Bombyx mori: one gene and its partners. The protein of the gene in region 3 binds, or shares a complex with, the protein of the main gene of each other region. Links are inferred from orthologs where the notes say so. Each region holds a gene or a part of one and is shown on either strand. Other genes may lie near its edges. The genes, in order: dynein regulatory complex subunit 7, dynein regulatory complex subunit 3, dynein regulatory complex protein 1, dynein regulatory complex subunit 4 and dynein regulatory complex protein 8.

Evidence for each region.
Region 1: dynein regulatory complex protein 1 (region 3) and dynein regulatory complex subunit 7 share a complex: the UniProt entries of both Homo sapiens proteins name them as parts of the nexin-dynein regulatory complex. The link is inferred for Bombyx mori from reciprocal best matches to the Homo sapiens genes DRC1 and DRC7.
Region 2: dynein regulatory complex protein 1 (region 3) and dynein regulatory complex subunit 3 share a complex: the UniProt entries of both Homo sapiens proteins name them as parts of the nexin-dynein regulatory complex. The link is inferred for Bombyx mori from reciprocal best matches to the Homo sapiens genes DRC1 and DRC3.
Region 4: dynein regulatory complex protein 1 (region 3) and dynein regulatory complex subunit 4 share a complex: the UniProt entries of both Homo sapiens proteins name them as parts of the nexin-dynein regulatory complex. The link is inferred for Bombyx mori from reciprocal best matches to the Homo sapiens genes DRC1 and DRC4.
Region 5: dynein regulatory complex protein 1 (region 3) and dynein regulatory complex protein 8 share a complex: the UniProt entries of both Homo sapiens proteins name them as parts of the nexin-dynein regulatory complex. The link is inferred for Bombyx mori from reciprocal best matches to the Homo sapiens genes DRC1 and DRC8.

The regions. Positions count from the first base shown.
Region 1 is NC_085131.1:3,590,068-3,596,408, reverse strand, and holds part of dynein regulatory complex subunit 7, read left to right. Parts: intron 1-161; coding exon 162-323; intron 324-1,505; coding exon 1,506-1,691; intron 1,692-2,574; coding exon 2,575-2,785; intron 2,786-3,694; coding exon 3,695-3,842; intron 3,843-5,415; coding exon 5,416-5,525; intron 5,526-5,849; coding exon 5,850-5,997; intron 5,998-6,341. UniProt on the Homo sapiens protein: Component of the nexin-dynein regulatory complex (N-DRC) a key regulator of ciliary/flagellar motility which maintains the alignment and integrity of the distal axoneme and regulates microtubule sliding in motile axonemes.
Region 2 is NC_085117.1:10,144,658-10,150,107, reverse strand, and holds the end of dynein regulatory complex subunit 3, read left to right. Parts: intron 1-244; coding exon 245-430; intron 431-1,088; coding exon 1,089-1,228; intron 1,229-3,097; coding exon 3,098-3,242; 3' UTR 3,243-3,341; downstream 3,342-5,450. Other genes in the region: enoyl-CoA delta isomerase 1, mitochondrial, read right to left, coding at 4,509-4,766. UniProt on the Homo sapiens protein: Component of the nexin-dynein regulatory complex (N-DRC) a key regulator of ciliary/flagellar motility which maintains the alignment and integrity of the distal axoneme and regulates microtubule sliding in motile axonemes.
Region 3 is NC_085109.1:8,024,574-8,031,632, reverse strand, and holds the start of dynein regulatory complex protein 1, read right to left. Parts: upstream 4,493-7,059; 5' UTR 4,326-4,492; coding exon 4,183-4,325; intron 3,907-4,182; coding exon 3,719-3,906; intron 3,581-3,718; coding exon 3,345-3,580; intron 3,248-3,344; coding exon 3,041-3,247; intron 2,478-3,040; coding exon 2,310-2,477; intron 1,029-2,309; coding exon 650-1,028; intron 568-649; coding exon 467-567; intron 1-466. UniProt on the Homo sapiens protein: Component of the nexin-dynein regulatory complex (N-DRC) a key regulator of ciliary/flagellar motility which maintains the alignment and integrity of the distal axoneme and regulates microtubule sliding in motile axonemes.
Region 4 is NC_085113.1:2,414,029-2,419,539, reverse strand, and holds the end of dynein regulatory complex subunit 4, read left to right. Parts: coding exon 1-297; intron 298-541; coding exon 542-729; intron 730-2,491; coding exon 2,492-2,722; intron 2,723-3,072; coding exon 3,073-3,215; intron 3,216-3,496; coding exon 3,497-3,581; 3' UTR 3,582-4,107; downstream 4,108-5,511. UniProt on the Homo sapiens protein: Component of the nexin-dynein regulatory complex (N-DRC), a key regulator of ciliary/flagellar motility which maintains the alignment and integrity of the distal axoneme and regulates microtubule sliding in motile axonemes.
Region 5 is NC_085130.1:5,993,774-6,000,912, forward strand, and holds the start of dynein regulatory complex protein 8, read left to right. Parts: upstream 1-2,513; 5' UTR 2,514-2,646; coding exon 2,647-2,671; intron 2,672-2,920; coding exon 2,921-3,034; intron 3,035-3,539; coding exon 3,540-3,663; intron 3,664-4,114; coding exon 4,115-4,241; intron 4,242-5,058; exon of another isoform or gene 5,059-5,297; coding exon 5,298-5,381; intron 5,382-7,139. Other genes in the region: heterogeneous nuclear ribonucleoprotein U-like protein 1, read right to left, coding at 1,679-1,808. UniProt on the Homo sapiens protein: Component of the nexin-dynein regulatory complex (N-DRC), a key regulator of ciliary/flagellar motility which maintains the alignment and integrity of the distal axoneme and regulates microtubule sliding in motile axonemes.

The DNA of each region.
Region 1 (6,341 bases), on a different chromosome or scaffold from region 3:
TAAGTTCTAAGGTCTCAGTATAGTTAAAACGGCTGCCCCGCCCTTCAAACCGAAACGCATTACTGCTTCGCGGCAGAAATAGGCAGGGTGGTGGTACCTGCCCGTGCGGACTCACAAGAGGTCCTACCATCAGTGAACCTAACCTTCATTTATGTATCCAGAAAAAAGAAGAAATTCCACCACCTGACGAAGAGCCCAGATATCGCCTGGTGCCCCTACCGGATCTCACTTCTAAGTACTGCCGTGATATGGACAAGAAAGCCGATGATAAGAAACAAGCTGAACTGAACAAGACCGAGAAAGAGCGACTTCGTAAAATTGCTGTTAGCATCTTTATGCATATTTAATTTAAGGTCTCTTCAGAATCCACATAAAAATTTATAGAATAATTAAACAGATATGTACTTAACTGTGCTTACATCATTTTTAGTTGGAGTATAATCAGTATAATAATAATGTCCTATGTTATTTATAACATAAGATACCTGTTTTATAAGAAGTAATTATCTAGTACTAGCTGACCCGGCAGACTTCGTAGTGCCTCAATCGATAAATAAAAGACCTAAACTTTTGTATACAATAAACTTAAAACAAACAAAAGGAATCCGTCCGACGGGGGACGCATCAAAAGAAAAACAAAGTCGTTATTTTTATATAATTCCGAGAATTTTCATATTTATCTACCTTTTAAACCTTCTCTGGACTACCACAAATAATTCAAGACCAAAATTAGCCAAATCGAGTTCTCGAGTTTTAGCGAGACTAACGAACAGTAATTCATTTTTATATATATAGATGTATATGTATATAAATGTAGATTGGAGTATTTACTTAATCAAGTGTTCAGCCAAGCGGTCGAAATTCGTCCAGTAGCATCCACACCGCAATACTTAGAATCAATTTGTGTATTACTTTTTTTTGTTATTGTCATATAGTTCGACGTCGCTCTTGGCTCATAGCACCAGCGCATTAAGGGATGGGACAGTTACGAATGAGATTTAGACCTCATGGTCATCAAGCTGGATAGAAGCGTACAAGTTGTAGCGTTTGTCGGTGTAATTTGTTGGCGTTGGATGCTAAAGTTGTCGTAGCCTAAAGGATAAGACGCCCGGTGCATTCGTATCTAGCGATGCACCGGTGTTCGAATCCCGCAGGCGGGTACCAATTTTTCTAATAAAATACGTACTTAACAAATGTTCCACGATTGACTTCCACGTTGAAGGAATAGCATCGTATAATCAAAAAATCAAACCCGAAAAATTATAATTTGCCTATTTAGCGGTGGTAGGACCTGAGAGTCCGCATGGGTAGGTACCACCGCCCTGCCTATTTCTGCCGTGAAGCAGTAACGCGTTTCGGTTTGAAGGGTGGGGCAGCCGTTGTAACTTGCATTTACGTTGTAGATATCTATGGGCTCCAGTAACCAATTAACAACCAGGGGGAGCCTGTGGTCGTCCATCCATCAAAGCAATAAAATAATAATAATAATAATCGTTGGTTTTCAGGATTTGGAAAAAGCCCCGGCTGACGCTATTAACGGGTGGAGAACTCACGCCTGGGTCCTCGTGCTGCCGGGATACATGGGAATCGACGAACCTTTCTTCATAGAGCCGAGCGAAGGCGAAGGTCATCTCCTCGACTCAGAAAAATACCAATTCATAGACAGCGTGTACAATCACGAAAACTACTATGTGAGTTTCAACTGCAAATTTTATTGAAAACCGGCGAATTCCTGTGTCGAATTTCAACAAATTGATAGTATTTTTTAATCGGTCGATTAAAAAAGCTTTTAGGTTTAAATTAATCACGAGTACTATGTATAAATTATACGTAATGGAACATTAATTATAATAATTTTAATTATTGAGTTATTGTGTATTATATTTCTAGAACTAGGCAGTTTTAATTTTTATTAAGCCCTGGACACGCTTTTCTCTGACTCTTCTTCTTTATCTCCGCCTTATTGGGGTCGGCACAGAGAATTTTTCTATTCCATTCTCTTCTATCCACATCATTTCGGATCCTCCCGATCCACTAACGGTGCTTTTAGATACCCCAAGCATCGGTCACCGTCCTCGTCGAACCCGTCGCTTGCGACGAAGGGCTCGGCTAGTAAATTAACCCACAGACACAGCCCACTGAGTTTCTCGCCGGATCTTCTCAGTGGGTCGCGTTTCCGATCCGGTGGTAGATTCTGCGAAGCACGACTCTTGCTAGGGCTCGTGTTAGCAATATCGTCAGGTTTGAGCCCCGTGAGCTCACCTACTAGTTAAGGTTACGCTCATATGGTCTCTGTAGACCATCAGCTTAGGTATGAAAAAAAAGGCGTCATCTCAACACTCACTCCTCTCTCTCTCATCGTCATTCACACACTTCATCCCTGTCTTCTTCGTCAACCTCTTCCCCCTCTACCTTGCACTACCATTTCCATACATCTCCTAGTCACATGCATCACCTTTCTCTGACTATCGCTAAATAAATAAAATTATCAGTGAATTTGTTGGTACCACCTGTGTGGTGTTAAGAAATAAATAAAAGAGTACAACTACATACCTACCTACAACTTTTTTTAAGGCAAACGTCCAAAGCACAGACATTGGGTTGGACAGCCTGAATTATGATCTGAGCGACCTCTCAGCGTGGGAGCATCTTCTGGCCGGCGAGCCCCACCATCGGAGGCAGATGGTCGGCATTGACATCGCCGACAAGAAGACAGCTGTGCAAACAGAGAAGCATCTGGATATGCCAGTCAGCTGGGTTGAGAAACTGGAGATTAGTACTGATGGTAAAATTACGTTCGCAATTCTGAGTCGATTATTGTCTATTGTAAATCTGAAGCGAACGGGATATCCGTTACTTGGAATTTAGGGTGGTTGGCGACGTTAACTTGTAAGAGTCTTAGGCCCGGTTTGTGCTCTACGTAGCGCACTGAAGTAATTATGAGTCGACTATTATCAAAGCCAGCAATGTGACTTTTGGAAAATTATTGGTAAATCAGAAAAACGAATTATTGACTTTGTATTCCATTGGCAGTCACAAAACTCTTCTGAACGACATCTTAGATAAATAACAGCTTAAGTATTAACCTTTATTTAATGCAGTTTTTGAACCGTATTCTTTGAAGGAGACGATTATATTCAAATGAATCTGTATTGACATATCAATAAAAAAAATTTGTCCAAATGCACAGATTGCCACCTTTGATAATAGACGACTCTTATATCGATTTACTGTTGCTAACGCGACAGAATATCTAGTCGATACTGGGAAAGACGAACCCGAAGGTAATGAGAATGAATCTATGCGTAAGATACCTAAAAAACTAAAACATCGTGTATTTAAGTAGTAGGACCTCTTGTGAGTCCGCGCGGGTAGGTATTACCACCCCGACTATTTCTGCCGTGAAGCAGTAACGCGTATCGGTTTGAAGGGTGGGGCAGCCGTTGTAACTGTACTTGAGACCTTAGAACTCATATCTCAAAGTGCGTGGCGCATTAACGTTGTATATGTCCATGGGCTCCAGTAACCACTTAGCACCAGGTGGGCTCTGAGCTCGTCCACCCGTCTAAGACATAAAAAAAAGGACAATCCAAGCGCCTTAGTAACAGAAATCGACATAATTACTACTACGCCGCGTAGAGCACCGGTGACCTGCACGCTTCTCAAAGGATTAACAAAGCAATACCCTTATCAGAGTACGGTCAAAGATATCCGGGCAGCCACAAAGTGATACACTACAAGAAAGTTTTACTGGATAAGTTCTCGCCCTACTCCGAGAGGGATGGTGTAGTGAAGAGGATCAGAACGTTTGAGGACTACGCTTTGACCGTCCCGCTGATCACGTGAGTGCGTCTTCGACTTTACACAGTCCAGAAACGAGGCCTAATACGCCTCGTCACCACCGCTAAGAGAACCCTAGACTTCTCTGACGTGCGAAGGCTGTAGCTATGGAGAGGTAGAAGTAATGAGCACGCATCTTGTATAGGGAACCAGTTGAACATCTATCTATATCTAATATATAAAATTCTCGTGTCACAATGTTCGTTCCCATACTCCTCCAAAACCGCTTGACCGATTCTCGTGAAATTTTTTATGAATATTCAGTAAGCCTGAGAATCGGCTACTATCTATTTTTCATACCCCTAAGTGATTAGGGTTGTCCACCCCTAACATATTTTTTTTATTTGGACTTTTTTTTTTTATTGAGGTATTATGTGGTTGAATGAGGTTTTGTTATTTTTATTATATATTCCCTCATCGTTCACAACACTACATACCTCTTTCACTCATTTACCACATCCTTACACACTTACAATAAATTATTTTTTTTTTTTTCTACACTAGAAATTCCCTAGAAATCTTATATATTATGGCAAAACAATGTTTGCCGGGTCAGCTAGTATTATATAAAAATGAATTGCTGTTCGTTAGTCTCGCTAAAACTCGAGAACGGCCGGACCGATTTCCCTAATTTTGGTCTTGAAATATTTGTGGAAGTCCAGAGAAGGTTTAAAAGGTTGATAATTATGAAAATGCTCGGAATTATATAAAAACAAACAATTTTGTTTTTCCTTTGATATGTCCTCCGTCGAACGGATTCCTTTTGTTTGTTTTAAGTTTATTTTATACAAAAGTTTAAGTCTTTTATTTATCGATTGAGGCACTACGAAGTCTGCCGGGTCAGCTAGTCGTGTAATAAAAATCAAACTCGCAAAATTATTTGTGAGTCCGCACGGGTAGGTACCACCACCCTGGCTATTCCTGCCGTGAAGCAATAATGCGTTCCGGTTTGAAGGGTGGAGCAGCCGTTGTAAATATACGGAGACCTTAGAACTTATATCTCAAGGTGGGTGGCGGCATTTACGCTGTAGATGTCTGTAACACCTGGTGGGCTGTGAGAGTTCGTCCACCCATATAAGCAATAAAAAAAAAGTGTCCACCTGTAATCAGAAGGTTATTGTTTGAAGAATCACCGAAATAGCACCAGCGTAAGAAATGGAAATGATATGAATTTATTTAGTTTTAAACAGAGTGAACTGGGCTGGATTGAAATGAAGTGTGATAGCTTATGGCGGTGTTTTTAAAATCCTTCCACTAGCTACTGTGGCGCCCCCTTAATTGGCTCTCTTTCAGCGGACACTTTTTAATACACCAAAATGATGCTCCTTACTTCTACGCTCCATAGCTGTAAGATCAATTTGATTTAGGAAAGAGATAAACATACATCTAAGTTGTCCTATTAAAATACAATGAACGTGTTACTTACAAATATTCTACAGAGATAACGTTCTATGAAGCCGAAATTAGCCGATCGTTGCTTTCCAAATGTCGATGGGCAGCATTTATCGGCGGGCACTGTAGTTGTTTAAAATTCCAATTAAATTAAATTAATGCAGATAACGGAATGTTTTCTAGGTACGAGTGGTACAAGCATCGCGTCGACAAAATGGAAACCGTTCGAATAGATCACACGAAGCGTGAGATACGCGAGACGTTCGGTATCGGAAGGAGGGATCATTTACTCAGTAATTATTGTGTTTTTGGTTTCTTCAATACGCTTTTATTAGCTTGCTGTATTGATGGAGGAAAGCGGAATTGTCGTAACTCGAAAAAAAACAACTTTATACCAGAGCCATACGCCGGGTGGACGAGCTCACAGCCCACCTAGTGTTAAGTGGTTACAACGTAAATGCGCCACCCACCTTGGCTTGCTATCAAACGTAGGCAAACGTTCCAACTCCATACAAATTTGAGTTAACTTTTACGCTATCGAGAACGTTAAAAAACTCACCCTAAGCTCGTCTACCTACTAATCGTAAAGTTTTACTATGGAAAAAAATGTTCCACAGAGCACGTGTACTCCATGGACGCGCTGGTCGGCTCTGTGGAGGCAGTCAGGACCATGGAGTTCAATTACTACGCCCGACTTGACCACCTCACGAGGCTGGTCTGCACTACCCTTACATTCGATGAATATTATTCGAACAGAAGCGACAGGTACACTCTTAATGCTGTCCCAAATTTACGTTAGAATGCTTTTGGAGCTTGTCAGCACGATTTGAAGTCCAAGGGATATTTTGACCTCGTATTTTGAAGTAGGAAAAGTGATTGAAGTTTTGGTCTCATCGACTCCCGCAGCCACTAGATCAGACCGGCCGTTGTCTTTTCCTATCATCATTTACCTAATTATAGTATTTTTATCAGCGTTTAATTCAGCGTCAAAATTGATTTTTCAATAAGAACATTACATGAAGTCGTCGTGGCTTAACGAATAAGACCTCGGTGCATTCGTGTTGAGCGATGCACTGGTGTTCGAATCTCAGACGGGTACTAATTTTTCT
Region 2 (5,450 bases), on a different chromosome or scaffold from region 3:
AATATTAAATGGTATTTATTATTCTTCTGTACAATTTTTGTGATGAAAATATTATTGGGGTATAACAGGTTAAGTTTTCTCTAGCCTTCGTATTAAGGACTGGAGACATTGTGAGTTATCACGATGTATGTGACAAAACACTTTTCAGACTAAAGACGAAAGATATATACGTACATAATAAAGATACAGTATAGTATTTGCTAAGCCTAAGTTTTTTTTAGACAGCTTTATTTTCTAATCACAGGAATCTCGCGTACAATTTTCTGTTAACATAACGGAAATGGTAACGAAACTGTTGGAGGTATCTCGTAACGCATTCGGAGCGTGGCGCGAACAAGAGGGCGTCTGGTCTATGAGACAGTTCGAGGCGCTGTCAAAGCTCCTTGGGAATAAGCTCATCTTGGGAGACGTACCCCCAGAGTTATTTGAGGTTGATTCACATTTTTACACACAGTTGAGATCTTGGTTGCACTTTTTAAATTAAATCAAGGTTCTACATCGTGAAACGTTTTCAATGCTGAAGGTGAAATGTACCTACTATGCCATAAAGTGACCCGCAATGTAATGCAAATCTAGCTGGCACGCGCCGCCCTGTTACGATAAGACCGCCAATAAATTGTGTGATAGGTTTTTTTTGTAATTGCTTAAATGGGTAGATGAGCTTAGGGTCCACCTGGTGTTAAGTGGTTACCGGAGCCCATAAACGTCTACAACGTAAATACCGCTATCCACCTTAAGACACGAGTTCTAAGGTCTCAGTTTTTACAGTACAACGGCTGGCCCGCCCTTCGAACCGAAACGCATTACTGCTTCACGCCAGAAATAGTACTCAGAAGACGTCCTACCAGTAGTAAAAAACGTTACAAATATCGATATTATTAACAATAGTGTATTAGGAATCAGGAACTCAATCAAATTATGTTTTCGTTTTTGTTACAGTTTCCAATTCATCCTTGTTTAAACTTAAGATACATTTTCTCAACTTTTTTAAACTAATTCTTCTTCCTTAAGCAATTTAATCTTGTCAATTGTTGGTGTGTTGTTCAAATTTAAGTTCTCTGTTCCTTGATAAGTTTGTCGTGTTGCAGGTGATGATGGATCGAGATTTAATGATGAATTTAGTGGCTCAATCCTCGGATAACCACATGCGTTTTATTGATGGACGCGAGGATTTGCTCATGACCCGTGCCAACAACTGGCGAGATGAACTTGTACAAGGCACTAATGAGTGAGTATCGAACGATCCTTCCTTCACTATAAAAATACAATAAAAATAATTAATACATGTACCATTTTGATAAGGTGTAAAAGGAATAATATAGTCTGGGTGCTCATAAAATAAAATACATGCTCCGTTGTCAGATTAAGGAATAAATAAGTTTATCTATTTCTAATTTTAAGTCCCTAAGTAGGTACTATATAATAAAGAAAACATTGTCAATATGTATTTTTCCCTACATAAGCGCTCGTAGCCTAAGGGACTAATTTAGCTACGCGACAGAGAGCTACTCTTATCTTATCTATGCAGACTACACTAATAATAAACAGTTAAATCAAGTCATCGCGCTTAATAAGCAAGGTCAATGACCACTGCAACTTCTTTCACCGGCGTCTTTAGTCAGTACTGAGGTTTACCACTATTATTGAGATTTAGGTTTCGACATACTGCTATTCGTAAGGCTTTGGTACTCATATATAACAGTATTCGTTTTTCGAAACAGTTTTAAGTTTTATGTATTACATTTTTATAGACAGTAATTTATGCTAAATGCTTTTGTGTCTTCTGATTAATCAAATGAAATAATGTATTTTTATTTTTGCACGGTTTTATTAATAGGTATTTACCTACGAAATTGCCGTTATGTATACAGAAAGTTTTATTGTTGTCTACCGAGGAATTTCACCCGCTCAGTGGACGGATCCATCAATCTCTTTGTCGTTTAACCCCAAACTATCAATCTAAATATATACCCAAATCGGTACATCTCTACGAGTTCCTTGGTTATCTTTCAATGCTCTTCTTGAAGAAATCTGGTGTAAAGAAGTTAGGGGGCCAATAAACTCATCAAAGGCATTTTGTACTGCATATCGGGTATTCGATTTTTAGTACAAAGTCGTTATTCAAACTTTGAAAAAGTAGAAATCTGTCGGTGCAAGGTCTGGTAAGTACGGTAGATGACACAAAACTTCCAACCCTAGCTGTTATAGTTAAGAGACCGTCCTGTTGTGTCGCATGAGGGCGAGCGTTGCCGTGAAGGAGGTTCGCAATCTCTTCGTTTCGTTGTCTTTTAAGCAACGCAAGGCATACATTGGCGTACAGGCGTTATTGCGTTGGCGATCGTTAATAAAAAAAATTATTGCTTAGATGGGTGAACGAGCTCACAGCCCACCTGGTGTTAAGTGGTTACCGGAGCCCATAGACATCCACAACGCAAATGCGCCACCCACCCTGAGACATAAGTTCTAAGATCTCAGTATAGTTACAACGGCTGCCCCACTCAATAATCCAAAACGCATTACTTGCTTCACGGCAGAAATAGGCAGGGACTCACAAGTGGTCCTACCACCAGTAATTACGCAAATTATAATTTAGCGGGTTTGAATTTTATCACACGATGTTATTGCATATCGTGAGCATTTGTTTAGTACGTATTTCAATGGTTGACTTTAGTTTTCGGGTGACCACTGGGTGTATTTTTTAAAGTAAAATTTCCATGCTTGAATCGTTCAAAACAACGAGTGGTGTGTTAGTTCGTAGTGTTTACTACGGACACGTATTAATGTTGTGAGCCATTTGTTTGTGCGGCATCGTTACCGTGACGAAAGTCGTTTACCATAATTTCTCATGTTAATATCGTATCCATATTCATGAGAAATGTACAAACATAATGTTTTCACCGATCCAATAAACAAAGGACTGAATTTCAAAATGAAATTTATTCTGGATCTGGAATTTATTGCTTACTTATACAACATTAGGTACGTTTCAAATGGCCAGTATTCTAAAACGGAAACTTCATAGGTAAATACTTATTATTTGCACAATAATTTGAATATATAGCGTTCTATTACTTACAATTACGTGGTTATGTTTCAGTAACGAAGTAAAGCGTAATCGAGATCGTATATTAGAGATAAATTACTACATAGACAATCAAAGAGAGGAGTGGACTGATATGCAGATGGGACTTACTGAAATAGTAGACCCGGAGACGGTCGCCTTACTTGGTGATGACTTTTAAAAAACTAAGGACGAGGCCTGGTGGTATTGTTGTAGATATTTGTGTGGCAAATAGCATATTAATTATTCAATATTAATAAAACATTGTTTTGTTTTTTAATAGTTTTTTTTTTATAGTTGTGTTGGTGACGATCTCACTCTCCCCACCTGTGTGCTTAGTGCGAGTTTTTTAACGTTCTCGATAGCGTAAAAGTTAGTGTATATTTGTATGGAATGGGATCGTTTGCCGCTAGGGGCGCTGTTCCAGCTGCATACAAAATTGGGTTAACTTTTACGCTATCGAGAACGTTAAAAAACTCGCACTAAGCACTGGTCTAGATTTCCAGAACCCACAGACTACAGAGCGTGAGTGTTCACCTCGAAACGTGTGGTCAAAGTCTTCCACTATATTTCATAACGGTCTCACCCTTCAAACCTACTCCTAATTACTTCGCGGCAGAAATAAACTACGGGCCCACCATATGCCCTATCCTGGTGATAAGAGTTGGGAAGTTTAAGTTGATGATCAGAATGCGGTGGTATAATTAATGCTCAGAAAACGGTGCTACTCTTCAGTACAAAACAAATATAACTAATCTAATCTAGAAAACTTTTTATTGTTAAAATAATAGGAAGAGTCTATGGTCTGACCCAATGAAGTGGTACTACACTAGTAAGATGTAGTGAGTATTAAGGGTGATCCAATGACTTAAATTTTAGACATTTATTTCTATGTAAATAAACCATTTTACAGGGTATAGAAATACAAATATATATTTTTACGATTTAACAATCTTTATTGAAAACATAAATATTACATGTAAAACAAGAACAGTACAATGTAAATCATATCAAAAATTCAAAACAGTACATATTCTAATTATTTTCATATTGTACACGGTTTTGGCACAATTTGAAGTCTACTGAGTTGTGGGATCAACGTTCCATTTCAACGTCATACAATGGTTACTTGAGGTCATTTACAAAGTCAATGCTACATTTCATGCTTGGTGTCTCTATTATTGTAGTCTTATATTCACTTTTATATCTATGACAATTATTACAACACTAATTCTAAGTACTTATTAAATCAACATCATAGATAATATATTTTAGTGGTATAAAATTGTATTTATATAAATGACTAAAATATATAATACAAAATTCCTACTATTTACAAAATTTGTTAGAATGTTCAAAAATACTCAAAAGTAAATGAACAGTATTTTAATTATAAAATTTATAATTACAACATACATGTTTTATTTACATAATTGTGATTAGGCATTTATTTAGCAGATTTCTGTTTGAGAGCTTGAATGTAAAGTTCTAACGATTGTTGTACTTTCGGGTTCTGTACAAAAGTTAAAAACTCATCAGTGTCCTGTTTACGATTCTTGATGAGCCACGTCAAAGGTTCTGCCCTGATCTTTTGCTTGGTTAAAGCACGAGCTATAGGCGAGATTTTGTCGAATTTCTTTATAAACTTCTTGCATTTATCAACCGCATCAGCCTTGTCTGTAGCTAAAACGTCGATGAGTCCCACCTTAAAAAAATTTATCATGTGCGGTACATTCACAGTTTTTGTTAAAGTAAATATACTTTTAAAATAAATTTACATGGTTTGTCAATAAGACTAAATAATTTTTTTTTTTTTTATTGCCCTTGTAGGCAGACGATCATACGGCCCACCTGATGGTGAGTGGTTACCGTCGCCCATGGACTTCAGCAATGCCAGAGGCAGAGCCAAGCCGCTGCCTACTGCTTAATACTCTTCACAAGCCTCGTTTGAAGAAGGACATGTCATAGCGCTCGGGAAACACCGTGGAGGGGAGCTCATTCCATAGCCGGATGGTACGTGGCAAAAAAGACCTCTGGAAACGCACTGTGGATGACCGCAGTGGCTCTAGGTAGTATGGATGAACTCTACTCCGGTGGCGGGCGGTGCGATGGTAAAAACGAGATGCCGGTATCATCTCGAACAATTCCTCAGAGCACTCCCCATGGAACATAAATTTATATTTAATTTAATCCTTACTAAATAATCGTATTTTTTTAAATGAGGGCATTACTTGGATGCGTTTTCCTAACAAGCCACTGAAGCAACCCTAATGACTCAGAAGCACTCGAAATACCTCCTGTAAGGGATGCTGAACATTAATCACTCTCATATTAAATGCCAGGAGATATTTTCCAAGGCAAGATAATTTGATTTGATGTCTATGATAAC
Region 3 (7,059 bases):
CGAGTGATGTCCAATTTCGTATTTTGATATATTTATATTTCTCTGTATTTTGTACCGTATGTTCCATGGGGAGTGCTCTGAGGAATTGTTTGAGATGATCCCCTCATCTCCTTTTTATCATCGCACCTCCCGCCATCGGAGCAGAGGTCATCCATATCACCTGGAACCGCTGCGTTCATCGACAGTGCGTTTCCAGAGGTCTTTTTTGCCACGTACCATCCGGCTATGGAATGAGCTCCCCTCCACGGTGTTTCCTGAGCGCTATGACATGTCCTTCTTTAAAATAGGCTTGTGGAGAGTATTAAGCGGTAGGCAGCGGCTTGGCTCTGCCCCTGGCATTGCTGAAGTCCATGGGCGAAGGTAACCACTCACCATCAGGTGGGCCGTATGCTCGTCTGCCTACAAGGGCAATAAAAAAAAAGAAAAGAAACTAATAGTAAGTTACTGTCCATCAATTATGACATACCAATCGTTCTTTAGCCGCTTGTAATCTGCCATCCTTCGTCTCGTCTAATTTTGATTCAGTTAATTCATTCGATTTATCTTTATTAGCTAATTCTCGTTGCTCTGCAAACAAAACCACGTTCAAAGCCCATAAGAATTATGAAATATATATTTTTAATGAAGATATTTCCAGTCTCCAGTTTACCGTATTTGCTTAATGGACTTTTGGGTAATGGCGGTGGAGGAGGCGGAGGTGGTCCGGCTAGAACCTGAGCATGTAAAGCCACTTCACCTTGCCTTAGCTCTTTACTTAATTCTGAGCAACGATGCGTTGCCATACGCCATATTTGGCAAAACTTATAATCGTTAACGTGCTTGAATTGATCAGACTTTTTCTCCAAATCGTCCATTGTCTGCATCAACTTTACAATTTCAGCGTCTGCTTTAATTTCTTCTATGGCGCCTTCTTCAGCAGCCTTGCGAATTTTCGCACGTAGTGCATTAGCAACGTCAGACATTTTGTTAAGTTTTCTTTTTTGTTGTGACCGGACAAAAACATTTTCTTCTTCGCGTTTCTTTAGGATCTACAACATACCACTAATGGTGAAAGTACATCATTTTCATCGTTAGTCATTTATTTACTCAGCCTGATAGATATAACTGGAATACATTTTTTATACTAAACGTACGAATTCTAAAATCGAACGTGCTCTCTTATGGAATTTTTTTGAGATCCGTTCAAAATATCCAATTTAAAAATTACATACGAAAAGACAAGAAAACATAAAAACATAATATTCATTGTTGTGTAAGCAAGGTAGGCCGCGGCTTGGCTCTGCCCCTGGCATTGCTGCAGTCCATGGGCGACGGTAACCACTCAACATCAGGTGGGCCGTATGCTCGTCTGCCTAAAAGAGCAATAAAAAAAAATAAAAAAATGTGAACCGCTGAATCCGAGAAACACTTGAAAGACAAACAATTCTCAGATATTTCGTAATACATATTTATAAAATTTCTCTACAGCAACATTGTGTCGTCGTGTGTTTTGAAGTCGCTGTGGCCTAAAGGATAAGACGTCCGGTGCAAACGGCCGTCTGGTGTAGTGGTAAGTGACATGGTCACTACACAAGGGGGTCGCGGGTTCGAATCCCGCCAAGAAAAGGTATTTGTATGATAAATATAAATATCTTTTCCAGGGTTATGGATGTATATTAAATATATCTATGTGTATAATAAAAATCTTACATTTATATCCGTTATCTGGTACCTGTAACACAAGTTCTTTACGAACTTATCACGGGACCAGTTAACGGGGTGTGATTGTTTTTTAATAAAAATAAAAAAAAAAATCGTATCTAGCGATGCAACGGTGTTCGAATCCCGCAGGCGAATACCAATTTTTCTAATGAAATATATTGTACTTACCTTGTTGTTGTTAGGTAAGTACAATATATTTCATTATTTATTTGTTAATATTCACGATTGACTTCCACGGTGAAGGAATAACATCGTGTAATAAAAATCAAACCCGCAAATTTATATTTGGCACAATTACTGGTGGTACGACCTCTTGTGAGTCCGCACGGGCAGATATTACTATCCCGCCTATTTCTGCCATGAAGCAGTAATGCGTTTCGGTTTGAAGGACGGGGCAGCCGTTGTAACTATACTGAGACCTTAGAACTTATATCTCAAGGTGGGTGGCACATTTACGTTGTAGATGTCTAGGGCAGTATGTCAGTAACCATTTAACACCAGGTGGGCTGAGAGCTCGTCCACACATCTAAGCAATAAATAAAAAGAAAATTTTTGAGAAGAGAATTGTGTGATGTCAGAAGTATGTAAAATGGAATATTGATTTTAACCTGATAGTTGTAACCAATCTTTTCCGTATTTATAATGCAAGTGGCTTTCAATTTTTCTAATTCCCTTTGCAGTTCTTGAATTAGAGATTCGAGTTCAATTTTAGCTTCACGAAACTTTTCATGATGATCCCACATAATTACTTCTATTTCTTGCTTGTGTTCTTCTAACTGTGAAATAGTTGCAACTTTATAGCAATATAAGTGCAACGAAGCTATGTATTACATAATAGTTTCAACCGTATAGAAATTAAATCAAATTACAGCAATACTTCATTGTAAGAGGTAGGAAGGCCTTGATGACAATGAATAGCGTTGACTTGGGCTCAAATTTCCTCAAGTAAAATTGCAAATAATTATATTATAGGTAAATAAATAATCATCACAATCATCATAGGTCAAATGAGTCGACTATTATCAAAGCCGGCAATGTGACTTTTGGACAATTATTGGTAAATCAGAAAAACGAATTATTGACTTTGTATTCCATTGGCAGTCACAAAACTCTTCTGAACGACATCTAAGATAAATAAGAGGTTAAGTATTAACCTTTATTTAATGCTGGTTTTGAACCGTATTCTTTGAAGGAGACGATTATATTCAAATCAATCTGTATTGACATATCAATAACATTTTTTGTCCAAATGCACAGATTGCCACCTTTGATAATAGACGACTCAAATAATCATCACTCGAGGCTCAAATCGAGACTATTCATTAATGTAGGGTACTACCTGCTTTGATCTATATTCCATATGAGCTAATTCTTCTTTGTCACGTTGCTTGTAGAGAGCTTCCCAACGCTTATTGTTGTGATCAACCATAACTTCCCGCTCGATTTTTATCGCTTGTTCTATCAAGGATAGTTGTTTTTCATAAGCTCTTTGCATTATAGTTACTTGTTTTTCGATTCTATCAGACAATTCTTTGATATCTTTATCCTAAAATGATATGGCTATTAAAATTATGTTTAACTTTGATTGTCTAACTTATTATATTGTTATGTGGTTTAGTCAATCGCCAGTTATTATTACACACTTGTTTATCTAAGTCTTCATAATAAGCATCATCCATTTGTTGTAGGTTATTCTTTAATTCAGTTATCACTTCATTTTTTTGTTCCATTAAGAAATCGCATTTTTGTCTCTGCTTTTTCATTTCTGCGTCTATATCTAATGGATCTTTGATATTGAGCATGGTATTCCAATTTGACGTAATAGCTTCATACTGGATCTGCGCCTCTGTTGCTTCGTCTTCTATCTTCTTCATCAAATCTTATTTTAAAAAAAACGTTTATATAAGTTGCACAAACAATATAATAGTTCTGTAATTCTGTTAACAGTAGATGTAGTAACAGTACATGAACTAGAGGAAATTCTACCCCTTACAAATGAACACATTCCACAAAATACCTCTCATATTATCTGCGAATAATCCTCTTCTTAAGACCTCTCGTTCGTCGGTGGTGACTTTGACATTGGTAACTTTAGCAGCTCCATCAAGATTCAACCTCTGCAACTCCTCTGCAGCGGTAGCTGTAGCTAGTTCTATTGGACCAGCATCTTCATCTGCTACGATTTCTTCAGTTTGTTGTTCTGATCTATTTAATGATAATCAAAAGGAAAAGCAGTGTGGAATAAAGACATTTAAAAGTTATTGTTTATGTATTAAAATTTCATAATTCTGCCATTTGATATAATTTTCAATGTATCAAACCGCTGAAGTCAATAATTGGAATACCTAATACTAATTTCGTGTTCTTATATTTTTGTGAATAATAAATTTAGGTAATTCTAATATTTTGGTGATCTAAATCAGTATTTGATCTCAGAAGTATAGCAATATTTTATTGAGATAGGAATTGATATTAGAAAACCTTTTTAACGCTTCTTGTCTCCTTTTGATACGAAGAGACCTAGCTGCTTTTCTCTCGACTGGGTCATGTGACGTAATTTGAGGTTCTGTAGGAGCGAGGACATCGTCTTCTTCGTCATTATATCTTTCGAAAGTTCCAGCCATAGTTATTATTCTAATAATCTGCCTGACATTTCCTAAATTATTTCTGTAAAAGATGGTTATTTACAGTTGTCATGGTAACCAACGAGAACGTCATAGATAAAGAAAGTGGCAGAAAATTGATATCAAATACTATAAAAAGACTGATGTGATCAAATCAATGAGTCGCTTGTCTCGTTGTAATTTCAAAAGTAGAACTGTACAATCTATCATCCGTTATGTCTAGCCTATAGAAGCTAGGTTATAAACTAAAGTATATTACAGCTTTACTTCCTAAAGCGTGGTCCGTCGTCCACTAACCCCACAAACAATAGTCACTAATTGCGTGAGATTTCAAAATGTGTGAGAGATAGCTAGTTACTTAATAGCTTCCGTGACATCGCTTGCCAAGGTACCTACTTATAGTCGAGAAAGATGCGGTAAGGTTTGTTTAAAAATTCTAATTTTGAATATTTAAGGTGTGTAAGAAACTATCTAGGTAATTAGATTTTTAAAGCCATTTTAGGCAATTGAACATTTGGCTCATCATAAAGATATAGTGTGATATAGATAGTAATAATTAGGTAAGTAAGTAGGTAATTAGATTTTTAAAGCCATTTTAGGCAATTGAACATTTGGCTCATCATAAAGATATAGTGTGATATAGATATAGCATAGTGTGTGATCACCGTCGATAATGGAACATAACAATGCATGCTCAAGCCTTTACCTGCAGCCGTTACACCGCGTTTTATTTGTATTTCCTAACGTCGTCTTTTTGTTTTGATTTAGGCCAATTATCACTTAATTATACTGAATAGGATTTACTTTAGAGTCTGCTGTTAATGACCGCCTATATTTAAAGGAATGTCTATAGCAAAATTTAACTTTATTCTATCGGAAGGCCATTTATTTATCTCGTATGTTGTATTTGGCTATCTACCTAAATATGGATCATTAGTAGGTACCTACTTTAAATGTCACTTATTTAAACTACACGAAGTTGTGAGCTGATTTTTTATTATTAGATGAGGCAGACAAAAATAAGGTACAGCTCACACACCTTATGCATTTGCGGCGGTGTCCGGATACTCTCTGCGGACCATGAAAATTCAGGTGAGGGATGTAGGTTCGTGGAGATATCGTGCCGGTTCGTACCCATATTCGCAGCAGGTCTCTAAGGTGAAGAACCTCTAGTCGATAGAATAATGTAGGTAAGGGAAGTCGACAAATTGTTTTTTTTTTACGAATCACCTGGCGCAACACTGATTCTCAACAAAGCGCAGCACGACGCTGCTCTACGTACCGGACCATATTTTATTAAGTGTAGGTATATCTATGCCGGACCGCACAAAAAATATAACGTGAATACATTTGCTCTTCTAGACACGATTGAGGTTTGAAATGCATTTCCACAAAGACTATCCTTTTTTCCCGTACGACCGGGTTGCTCTTCTACAGCACATGCGTCGACGACAGCGACGCCGGGAACGAGGACCGCACCTGTCGCTGCCGACCGTCGTAACCACGATGCTCGACAGCGACAGGTGCCTAAAGGATAAGACGATTGAGTCTTAAGAATTGAAAGAAGAAGACAGATTGAGTCGTCGTGGCCTAAAGGATAAGACGTCCGGTGCATTCGTATCTAGCGATGCACCGGTGTTCGAATCCCGCAGGCGGGTACCAATTTTTCTAATGAAATACGTACTTAACAAATGTTCACGATTGACTTCCACGGTGAAGGAATAACATCGTGTAATAAAAATCAAACCCGCAAAATTATAATTTGCGTAATTACTGGTGGTAGGACCTCTTGTGAATCCGTACGGGTAGGTACCACCGCCCCGTCTATTTGTGTCGTGAAGCAGTAATGCGTTTCGGTTTGAAGGGTGGGGTTGTAACTATACTGAGACCTTAGAACTTATATCTCAAGGTGTGCGGCGCATTTACGTTGTAGATGTCTATGGGCTCCAGTAATCACTTAACACCAGGTGGGCCGTGAGCTCGTCCAAAGATCTAAGCAATAAAAAAAAAAAGGTGCGGTCCTATTTTCGCAACGAATACGCGACACTGCTCTGCGAAAGCAGGGCACTACGCGAGCGTATCCTTCGCCGGCTACTCATCGAATAGCCGAAGGAGGCGTGTCCCGTTAGTGCCTGCGTCGTCTGGCAGATGAGACGGCAAGCGGCAAGACTACGCCTCGATTGAAGCCTCCCCGCTCCAATTTCCGTCTTGCCGGGACGGTTCCCCATGGAGCGGAGGTCACCTAATTACATACAATCCGCAACGAGTGCCTCGGCCTCCAGGCCCCAGGGAGGCGTTCCGGCGAGCACGCACGCCGCCTTTAACGAGACGGTGCGGTACCCGTGAACCACCCCGGACGTGATCTCAGGCTGCGGACGTTGCAACGCCGTTATCGCGGGTCAGGACGTGACGCCACATGGACCTCCAGGCGCAGCCTTCGTATACTGCCGGCAACGAAGGAACCTGTGTAACCTAACCTAACCAATGTAATATTTTAAAATTTTGAACACCCGTTCTCCTTTCCATCATTGATTCAAAAGTTCTAGTAACCGATATAATCCAGCTTGGTAAGTTTAATAAAGTTTTGTTTTACCAAACATGTATATCGTTCTCTTAGTAAAATTGTCAATGGGAAGTAGGACTTCGACGTTTTGTCAAATTGATATATTTCATTTTAGTTTCATCTACCAACAGGTAAACAACAAACAGAAAAACTGATCATTCAGCCATTTAG
Region 4 (5,511 bases), on a different chromosome or scaffold from region 3:
AAGAAATGAGAGAGAAAGCACTAGCTGCTCAAGACGAACTGCGGAGAGCTAAATTAATGCATGCCGAAGACCTCTCTAAGACGAGGGCAGAATTTGAAGAAAAAGCAAGACAAATAGAAGAAAAAGCTGAAAAGAAGCTTCAAGAAACTAAGGTAGAGTTGACAGTTAAACATCGAACCGAAATAGCTGAAGTTGAAGAGAGAAAGAATAAACAGCTGTCTGAATTGATAGCCCATCACGAAAGAGCTTTTGCCGACTTAAAGAACTACTACAACGATATCACTTTGAACAATTTGGGTAAGAGCTTAAATTTTACGATTTTATTATCTTTTAGCGCAGTTTCAAAATGTAACTTCAATAATATATACTTCAATATTTTTAAAAGAATTGTAATTGTTAACGATACTATCGTTTGCTAAAAGTTTTCCAGGAAAAGATTCCTCTTTGATTATGAAAAAAAAATCTTAAAAATATTGTGATATAAATTTGCAGACCCAAAATAAATATCCAATTTTAATGTTAAATTGCTCTTTATCTAAAGGCTTAATCAGTAGCCTCAAGCAACAGATGGAAGATATGCAGAAAGTTAAAGAACGCGCCGAGAAGATCGCGAGAGATGCAGTAGCAGAAGCGAAAGGTCTTCGAGAGCCTTTAGAAGCAGCCATCATCGACAACAAGGAACTGAAACGGCAAATGTCAAACTATGATAGGGACAAAGCTGCTTTAGCTGTGAGTATTAGTAGCCTAGTGTTAAGCTAGTGTTAAGTGGTTACCGGAGCCCACGGAATAGATAAATAAGGTTGGAATGGTAATGTAGGCGGGGCAAGCGTGCCACTGTTATGATCGAACAAACATAACTCGACCGATTCTTTCATTCACCGCGTTTAGTGCGCTTCGGAATATTTGGGCGAACAGATCTCCGCTTTATAGTGCCGTGTTGTGCAATTATAACTTGTAAAACAAAAAATCAGACCTCAAGTATAGAGCGAGGAGGTATATCTTTCGATCGGTAAGTCGAAATTACCATTTAATTACAATATTATTTGTCTAAAACATAAAAATATACTGAGCATTATGAAATTCCAAACATTAACAATATTATTGCAGCAAGTTATAAATAGCATACATTGCGCGATGTGTACTCGCCCAATGAACGCAATGACCAAGTCAGCTTCCAATGTACTACATGCATTGCGTTCTCTACACTTCAATCTTTGAAATTTCGGCCTTTGCCCTGATTGGCCGTGGTGCACGGCGCTAGTTTGTCGATAGTGAGGTGACCATGTGGTGAAATAAAATCATCGACAGAATTCTCGACTATATTTACATTTGACATGGATATTTTTTGCATTATTTTATATTTAATTAATGATACCTAGTATATTCTTAGTGAGACGTATTTTGAGTAAAATAAATATGTATTATTATTATTGAATTATTATCATTGAATTAAAGTGAAGGTATAATATAAAGGGACATGTAGACCTCTCATTTACGGGTATTTACTATATTGTCTAAGACGTATTAAAATCTAAATAAAATGCCATTTGACTTATGCAGTAAATAAAAAATTTTAGGTTTCCTAAAGAACCTAACGCCAGGGAACAATGGATTGACGTGACAGGTAGAGGAAACTGGAGACAAAGACGAGTACTATTTGCTCTAAACATTTTACTGAAAATGATTTTACCATAAAAAAAATCATAATACACTTAGTTCTGAAAAATTCATTCGCAATTAATAGCAAGCGCCAACTGCTTAACAAATACGTTTTATTCCAGCGACAGTGACTATTTGTAATTAATAAAAGTAAAATAGTTTTTTTTTTTCAATATTTATTTCATGTTTCATTTTCTCCATTCATTCATCAGATAATTTATCGATAAAGAATATCGATTTTACCAAGCACTAGCGTGTATGAACATTTTTATTGCCTTTTTGCGTGTGTGAGTGTGTATGCCTACGGGTGTTTTGTGCTAATTGCGAACGAATATCTGTCCTGAGATTTATGTGTGGGTGTTTTTGTTGTGTGCGAAATACTTGTAATCACAGTGTGTGTATGTGTAGAAATTAAAATAGTGGGGATGAAGCGGCGACACTGGTTCTAATACAAAATTAGAGCAAAGGCCTTTCCAACCTTATTTATCTATTCCGTACCGGAGCCCATAGACATCTATAAAGTAAATACCGCCACCCACCTTCATAATAAGTTCTAAGGTCTCAGTATAGTTACAAAGGCTGCCCCACCCTTCAAACCGAAACGCATTACTACTTCACGGCAGAAATAGGCGGGGTGGTGGTACCTACCCGTGCGGACTCACAAGAGGTCCTACCACCAGTAATTACGCAACTTATAATTTTGCGGGTTTCATTTTTATTACACGATGTTATTCCTTCACCGTGGAAGTCAATCGTGAACATTTACAGTTAAGTACATAATATATAATGCCGTCATCCACCTTATTAAATCAATAACTATATTAAAATACAGGCAAAAACGAAACAGCTAGCAACCCTAGAGAAACAGTTCGAAGTCTTGAAATGGGAATACGAAGTGCTACAAATACGCTTCGACAGAGTGCTAGCTGAAAGAGACGAGCTGAAGGCTAGATTTTCGAGGGCCGTACTAGAAGTACAACAGAGGGCTTCGTTGAAAACGGCCCTACTGGAAACCAAGTTGAAAAATATGGAAGCAAGAGATTTAGGACCGAGAGAATTGCATGTGAGTTAATATTTTTATTACCGATAAATGAATCCGGCTGTTTCGCCCCTCTTCCTTTTTTTTTCCTACCTACGCTGATGGTCTTGAGAGACCATTTCAGCGTAGCCTTAACAAGTAAGTGAGCTAACGGTACTCAAACCTGACGACGTTGCTAGCACTATCCCTAGCAAGAGCCGTGCTACGCAGAATCTACCACCGGATCGGAAACACGACCTTAACACTTAAAACCAGGTGGGCTGTGAGCTCGTCCACTTATGTATGCGCTAAATAAAAAAAGACTTCCTCTTAACAGTAGTAACTTTTTCATGGGTTTTACATTGTACTCACTTAGTATTAATTAATTTAAAAAGGAACTGCTCAAACTCAAAGACACCCAAGTAGAAGATCTTCGGTATGAAGCCGCACGACTTCGGAAGGCGCATGATGATCTACTCGCGACTTACGAAGCGAAACTAGTGAAATTAGGAGTGCCTCCAGAAGAACTCGGTTTCAAGTGAGTAAATTTAAATTTAGCGCCATCTATGGTGTTTAATGAAAACTAATAAATAAAGTTTATCCAAGCGACATCTAGTTTGATAAAATGAAAATATTTAAAAATTGAAACGTTTGAAAGTGTATTATCGTGATAGTAACAGATGGCGCTGTTTGCAAAATTTATGAACTGGAAATTTAATGTTATGAGAAAAAGTTTATATAGTACAAAACGTATCCACGAGATGTCACTATTACAAAACCCAAGATGTTATTTATTATAGGTATTATATTTTTTTTCAGACCATTAAAAGCCGTTGCGGTGGCCGGAGTATCGCCTGTAATAGGTCAAGGACCAGCAGGATTAGTGACGAAAGATCAATGTTAGAAATAGAAATTAAAAAAATTGTATAATATAATTGCAAAAGTTGTGCCTATCTAAATTGTTCTGAAGAGAAATTGTAAATACCAAAAAATATTTTTGTAAATCCTTTTTTCCTTTTTCGTAATAAGCTGTCACCACCATCTAAGATCATTGATAATGACATTGGCAGAGCCGGGCGACTGCGTACCATTCAAGATCAAGCTATCTGATAGATCTCACAGCGATCAGCCATTGTGCTTAGTGCAAGTTTTTTAACGTTCTCGATAGCGTAAAAGTTAACTTTGTATGGAGTTGGAACGTTTGCCTACGTTTGCCGCTAGGGACGCTGTTCCAACTGCACACAGATTTGAGTTAACTTTTACGCTATCGGGAACGTTAAAAAACTCGCACTAAGCACACTGGTGTTAGAAGGCTACCGGAACCCATTACTATAACAATATGAATGAACGAACCTTAAAATATGAGGTCGATGTTTTCGCTGTAATTGCCGGTGCCAGAATAAATAAAACCAAAAAAATGAAGCCAATAAGTGTTTTATTTCCTACTAACGTTTTTTTTTTAGTATCATTTTAATTTAATTATGTACAAAACATTCATAAGGCAATAGTTTGAAATGAAAAGGCGTCAAACATTTTTTGAACCTTTCCGCTTGCATTTTAGCGATTTTTAATTGCATTTACAAACGTTTACTATATATTATATACTATTTATGGAATTAATATATATATTTATTTATCTTTTAATTAACAATTTTCTTTTCCATAACTTAATTTTTGCACGTTAAGAACAAATTGAAAATGTTATTTACAACGTAATATACATGGGTAAGTGAATTTATAAAAATCAACAAGGTATTTGTATTAGAATGTTTTTTTTTTAAATACTTTTGTAGCTTAGACAAATAATTCACGCATTAAAAGTAATAATTTTTTTGAAAATATTTAAAATTAACAGTAATACTTAATACTTACGAGAAATGCTATTTTCATAATCTCAAAGAAACTTTGTACAAAGTGTCGTAAATTATTAAAATAGTTGTTTTAGAAAATATTACTTGTGTTAGTTACAATAAAAACGAAAAAAATATTTAAGTTTTATATAAATACAATTAAACGCGATAAGCTTGAAATAATACATAGAACATTATCAATTAATAAGGAATTCGAAATAATGATTCAAGATTCACTCTTAACTAACTACACCAGTGATTCTCAACCTTTTTTTTGTTGTGCGGCACATATTTAACGATTTCAAAATTTGGCGGCACACAAAAAAAAAAGATAAAAATTATTTACTTACTACAACACACTGCATTAATAGTTTATAAAAAAAATTTTCATATACGAAATAAACTAAAATATACAATATTTTTTTTGTGTATTTAAATATTATAGTATATTCATGTTTAAAATATTTTTCTTTTAAAATGATATAATTTACAAACTTCAGAGGTGTCAAGGGACACCCGGATGGAACGAAGTTCCTTTCGATTAATTAGTGAAGGAATTGTAATTTTTTTTTAAAGTTATAATAATAAATTACGGCATTATGAAGAAGAAAAACACAATACTATAAAGCGCCTACACGTTGATTGGTCAGAATGACGGATCTAAAAAGTGTCGTGACAACTTTTCGTAAGAATTTTTTCCGTCTAGCCCCCTTTCACAACGCGCGATAAGGAACTTCGTTCCAATAATATTAACATTATTATATATTCGAAAAATTTGGCGGCACGCAAAAGTGCCGCGGAACAATGGTTGAGAATCACTGAACTATACACAACCAAACTTTCAGTTTTGAAAAATATAATACACATAAACTATAATTTGACATGGATTTCGTTTTATGATATTGATTAATTGCTTATACGTTCACGAAAATTGTTTACTCGCTAAAAATATACAAAGTATCCTTTGTATTCATTGCAAAGTGG
Region 5 (7,139 bases), on a different chromosome or scaffold from region 3:
CTGTTTCAACCCCATACAAAATTGAGTTGACTTTTACATGATTGAGAAGTTCAAAAACTTACACTAAGCACTCTGGCCAGTTCTAATGGTTGATTTTCTTATATTAACTCTGTTAGTGTTTTAAAGGAATTAAAATAAAAAATTACTTCTTCAATAATGTTTTTATGTTGTTGTTGAAAATGTTTTATATATTAACTAACAATTTTAAAATGTTCACAATAATCGAACATTGCATTCATTAACAATGTTCTAGGTATTACCTACTCTATTATAGTCTGATAATAAATATTAATTGTAATTGAAATACTACATGACATTTTTTGCTTTGTAAAATTTGGGAATCCTCAACAGAATGAAGCATTATTTCGCACCTGAACAAAGACTTGTTTTGCAAAGCACCGGTACAAGTCGCACTAGGGTCCTGCTCATTTCCCTGAAATATCATATACCACTTATGCATTCAATTCTCTCTGCATCCACAGTGTGATTTCAGACTTTTTTGTTTTTTTCTCTCCATAATTTTTTATTGAACTCTATAATATCTGTTGCAATACTAAGCATCCACCACAGACAAAATAAAGTTGAAACAAACTTACTTAATTTTATTATTTAATAATAAGTTTTCTGTGTTTGTAACATATTGCATGCAACCTATTTTAGATAAGGTTGACAGTAATATGACCATTGTAATCTTCATCAATTTAATGATAAACATTGCTTTTAAAACACAGATCATAAACAAAGTATGGTATTTATTTTTATTTAGTAGATTAGGTACTTAATTATTATTTTAAAAACCATCTCTGTATATTATCTTTGTTATCTATAAGACTGTGATGAATAAATTAATTTGCTACCCATGCTTTTTTCAACAATTCTGGAAAATATTAGTCTTAATATTTCATACTAATCAACATATTATCTGATAGCAAATTTAAATAAAATAACAGTAGTTAATAATTTCGTTGAAGACCTTAGAGGAAAACATTAATTAATCAAGGTTGTATCCTTAAAGTTACTTCTATACCTAAAAATACTATATCTGGACATTAGAAGCAAAAAGACGTATACATTTTGTGCAAAAAAAGCTTTTAACTGATTTGATTGAATTTCGTTTTATTTTACTTTGCAGAATCGAGCTCTTCTTACCTATTATTAAGCCTAAGAATAATCATATGAATGAATTTCCCATAAAACAGTGTATACATAAATTGATATCGATGTCGAAGTTTTCAAACCGATTACGATTTGAACTGTTCAGTTGGAATAACTGCAATAACTGATATGCGTCGTTGTATCAGTAAAAACATATAAAATACTTCGAAAACTTAATGATGCTGTACATTAATATTTAATAAATTATTAGATTTTTATGCGATTTTATCTCATGCTTGAGTGTGAATAAAGTCGTAACCTTGATTTTGGCGTCAGATATTAAAATAGGTGTGTTTGCAAATCTCTAAATGGGACAGCAAACTGATGTATGGTTACTACGGAAGTTAAAGTTACTAAGAATCACACTAAATCTCTTAAAGTGGAAACAACAGTGCAACAATGATCCATGATTGATCGACAAATGTACACGTGCAGTAATTAAAAAAGTCCCTAACAACAATTTCAGCAACATTACTAAAAAACTGTACATTACGCATTAAATAATTACATCTGAAATCCTAACCTGTTCCAGTTTTCGCTTCGAGTGCTTTTTTCAATCTTTCTACCAAAGCCGGCTTGTTTCCCTTCGTATCTAACCCGAGAGCACCCAACTCGGACCTCAAGTCCACCACCTTCATTTTAGCAGGATCCATTGTATTAATCGTCTGATAGTATCCACTTCACAACACTTTAAAGTTTTTAAAACACATGTGCTTAAATAATATTAATTCTATTACTATCTGAACGAAAATTCACGACAGAAAAAGCGCCAACTAAATCCAAAATGGCGATTTAGCGGCGCATCAGCATAACGGAAGGAAATGGCGGTATATTATCTATGGTGGGGATTGGCGATTCCAGAATTTTTTGGAATAAGCTATTTGTTGTAAAATTCAAAAGGCCAAGGGTTTCTTATCCATACTACTCAAAAGTCTGGAAGCCTGCTGTTTAATCAGTATAGATTGGATTGTTTTTACAATGAATTTATTTTCTATTTGATTTTCTATAAAAGCATATTTTTGTGTTTTTTAAAGTATATATTTTTTTTTAACTAATATTTTTTGAATGTGGTACGACAATTAAACATCAACATGTCAACAATAAGCTATTAATTTGTACATTGGTTGAATTAAGCTTTGTCAATATTGTGGAGGAGCTGTTAAAACTGGGAGCTAATCCTAAAAAAAACTAATTTATGGATAATAGGTCTAACTGTTTAAAATATTGCATTGTCAACGGTCCTTGATAAGTACCTATGTCAAATTTTGATTTCAGTCTACGTTTTGAAGGGGGTCAAAATCATGTTCAAAGCATCCGTCACATATATACATACTAACTTACAGCAGCTCTGGTGCAAAATAGAACTAAAGCTTCGTCGATGACACTAGTGATAACTGATAGGTTGTGTTGCCTGGTTACGGAATATTTTTTTCAATTTAATACGTGTACTTATTAGTGTTACAAATCTTATAATTAAACTATTAGTTCATTATGGCAAGAAAAGAGGAACCTAAAAGTTAGTTATTATTTGAAAGATTTACTTTATATACATTTAATAATTTATAAACGAGCGATGTAAATACTGTGTAATTTAGTATCACTCATTAAATTTTATTATAAATGAATACATACATAAATACATTTATTAGTTGAAATTTAAACAAAACCAAACATTTTTATTGGTAAATAGATATTACGTCTGGTATAATATCTGATATATGTCATATATTGGTATATCTCATATACCTTAAATGTATCTTTCTAGTTCAACCAAACAATGATTTGGAGAAAAAAATAATTGAAGCTTTCGAAGTATTTGACCATTCTGGGAAGCAAGTCGTAGATGTAAGGGAAATAGGAACAATTCTTCGATCTTTGGGTAATGCTTTTTTTTCTGGTTTTCGTTAAATGTTTTAATACTTTACTAGTGTAATAAAGAGTATTTAAAAAATTCTGACTCTCACGGTAAATTAAAAGACACGAGTCACCACGAGTAGCCGATGGCGCTTGGAACAGTGCCGAAGTATCGCGAAATCATACTAAATATCGTAAGAATACAATAGCCGTGTTTACAACGTAATTACGCATGAAAAAAGTCATCATTTTGCTTTCCGTGCTCCAATTTTTCACCCTTTTAGGATAATAGATATCTCAATTTTAGTATGACAGTGATTATTCACGTCTTCGAGTCGCTACAAATTATTTAGGAGGAATAGTCGGAATGAAGGTGCTCTCCTCTCCGAGCCGGTCTGTGTGAACGGACCCTTAGGCCGTTTTTTGTTTTGGAAACTTCTAAGCGGATAACTGTTTGAGTACTAAATAGACTGTTTACATGGTAAATTTTGAATATAGCAAAAGAGACGTTAAATATATGTTTTTTAAAGGTTGCTGTCCAACTGAAGCCGAGATACAAGAGGTGATTTTAGCAACGGAAAACAAAGAAGCAACTGGAAACGTTCCGTTAACGAACTTTTTACCTTACATGTGTAAAGTCATGATAGAACATAGGTTTGTAATATTAAAATTAAAAAGGTTAAACAATTTTAAAATTTTGACAGTGTGGCTCAATCTTCGTTGTTATTTTTCATATCTTCTTTTTAATATAATACTGGCAGACCCGGCCACACGTTGCTGTGGCTAAGGTTTTTGTTTCTAATTAAAACGCGGCCGACTATGCTAATATCAAAAATTGACAAAGAACAATTGGATTTCACTGTATTGCGTTTACTACGAAATAAATTACCTACACTTATACTTTAGCCTAAGCATCATGTGGTGCTTATGCCATTAAATTGTAGCTTATGGAAACGTTGGAATTTTTGACAAAGCCAATTACGCCATTGATCACCGAGATAAGTAGATTTTGATGTTAGCTTTCTACCTTTCGTACGTGAATTTTTTAATTTAATTTTCCATAAAATGTTCATTATGTCAGGTATTTTATTTATTAATGGGACAGGTTTTATCCGGCGAGCGCTGAAATGCTGTTGGCTGCATTCAGATATTTTGACACGGAGGGACGTGGGTACCTCACTAAAGAGAGGTTCGCCAAGCTTATGATGGAAGAAGGAGAGTCATTTACGCAGGTACCTTAAAATTTCTTATTATTATCTATATCTATATATATAAAAATGAATTGTTGTTAATCAGTCTCGCTAAAACTCGAGAACGGCTGAACCGATTTGGCTAATTTTGGTCTTGAATTATTTGTGGAAGTCGAGCGAAGATTTAAAAGATAGATAGATATGAAAATGCACGGAATTTAATAAAAATAACAATTTTGTTTTTCCTTTGATGTGTCCCCTGTCGGTCTTTTATTTATCGATTGGGGTACTACGAAGTCTGCCGGGTCAGCTAGTTTTAAATAAAACAATTCGTTTTCCGGCTGCCTTCACTTTATGTCGTATAATATATTGTTACGCCGGTAAGAGTAACGCCATCTATCGCTGAACAGCCGAAACGAATACCAAATGATAGCAACATCTAGAACGCTCGAAAAGTACAACGCCATCTATTGTCAGGTAGCGGAAGCACGCATTGAAAGTGCTCGACTTGTGAGGAATGTTCTCGACGATTCTAGGGATGTCGTATCGACTTTATAAGCGTTGCAGAGATGCTGTCGACGTCACCCAAAACACGTCATTACGGATCCTCCCGATCCATTAACGGTGCTTTTAGGTACCACAAGCACCGGTCACAGTCCTCGCCGAACTAAGTTTCTCGCCGAATCTTCTCAGTGGGTCGCGTTCCCGATCCGGTGGTAGATTCTGCGAAGCGCTGCTCTTGCTAGGGCCAGTGTTAGCAACACTCAGGCTTGGGCCCCGTGAACCTTCATGTTAGGGCGAAACTGAAATAGTCTCTCGTGTTTGTGAAGTGTTTTAAGTGTTCTAAGAGATAACACAGTTTCAATTCGTACTTCGATAGAATTTTTATTTATACCGAATCGTATTATAATATAACATTATTTTTTATAATTAATAATCCTAACACTATACAACAATAATCCATAACATTAGTTATTATAAAATAATACCGTGTTATATGTTATGCTAACAAATACTATACTGTTGTATATGGATATGAATTGACTCGGTTAAATTTCAACGAGTATTCTTATGGCTCTCATTTTTTTCATGATACAGGAGGAGTACGATGAAATGATGCAAACAGCGTTAGATCCTGTAACAGATACAATAATGTACGAATATTACATCAACCAACTTATGGTGAGCGCATTCTATTTTGTTGTTTTGTTTATATTTTAGTTTATCTTATAAAGTTTAAGATTTATAATATTCTATGTATCTATTTTAATTTGTTGATTTTATATATAACTAGCTTTTACCTGCGACTCCGTCCACGTGGAATAGTTACTTTGGCATAACGCTAAATTTTACCCCCACTTCATTTACGTAGAAAGTGAAAATATTTTTGAATTATAGAATGTTATGGAGCTATTTAAACCCCTATTTTGAAACATTCTTTATTGGTGCTCCACTTGTATTGGTCTTACCGTGATGTTATATAGCCTATAGCCTTCCTGTAGGATTCAAATGGGTTATCTAACACTGAAATAATTTTTTAAATCGGACCAGTAGTTCTTGAGATTAGCGCGTTCAAACAAACAAACTCTTCAGCTTTATAATATTAGTATAGATATGGATTTATTTTATATTATCTGCTGGTATAATATGCACAGTTAGTATATTGCTGGGGTGGCCAACTTGATTAGAATCAAGATCAACTGTTTACTGTCGAAGCACTACATAAGCACTACGATCTACCAATGACATTTCTTGAAATTTATGAAACAATGCAGTTCAGTATACAAATAAGTAGTATATTTTCTTTTATTGAAAAGATTAACATAAAGTTGAAATTATACAATAAAAGAGAACTATTGCGTGGAAGAGAGAATAAATAATGTGAGGTAATTGTCATTTACAAAAAATGTATCTTTCAATGATACAATTATCATTTAATGATACAAGATGAAGATGATGCGTGCAGCAATTGGTGATTACGTTGCGCAGTCTGTTCTATGTATTTATATTTTTTTGTCTTGCCACGATCGATGTAAATGGAAAAATTTGATTCGAGCCCTACACCCCAGCAGAGGGTAATAGGAAAGAATGATGAAGAAGATGATAATGACGATCGACTGAATTAATAGCCAAGATCGACCGGTCGATTGCGATCTTTTTTTTATTACCCTTGTAGGGAGACGAGCATACGGCCCACCTGATGGTGAGTGGTTGTCGTTGCCCATGGACTTCAGAAATGTCAGGGGCAGAGTCAACCCGCCGCCTACCGCTACCGGTTAGCCATCCCTGGTATATTGTATAGTATAATAGAAAAGCATCTGTTTTCGTTTTAATTAATGCACCTGTAGTAGGTGTAGTAGGTTTTCTATATCATCCTTGGTCGATTAGTAGAAAATGTTTTGGGCACTAAGTTTGCCAATGTAATGTGCATGAATAAAATAAGGTTTGTTTAGTTTTTGTAAACAGATTCTATCTTAATGACTGCAGTGTATTTATCAAAAGCGTCATTGCACTATATTGTGATTCGAGTAATGTTTTATTCTACAGAATTGAATTGCAAAGCTCTGCTTCAATGAACACTAACATATAGATTTTAGTGATAAACGCGAGTTATCGTAGCGCCCGACGAATTGTGATTTCGCTAAATATAGCATAGCTCATAGCTTGTGGTGGACAGTCGTCCTTTGTTTAGCAAGTATAACAGAGATCAGTGGGTAATGAAGCAGTATAAGTAAGATACAGAACATAGTATTAATTTGTTGAGCACGATTTTATATAATTTTTATATTCTTAATTAATAGATGTCTGAACAAACTCACGGCCTACCTGTTATAACGCAGCTGATGTGTGCTTAATTTGCGAGTTCTTTAACGTTCTCGATAGCGTAAAAGTTAACTCAAATTTGTATGGAGTTTGAACGTTTGCTTACGTTTGCCTCTA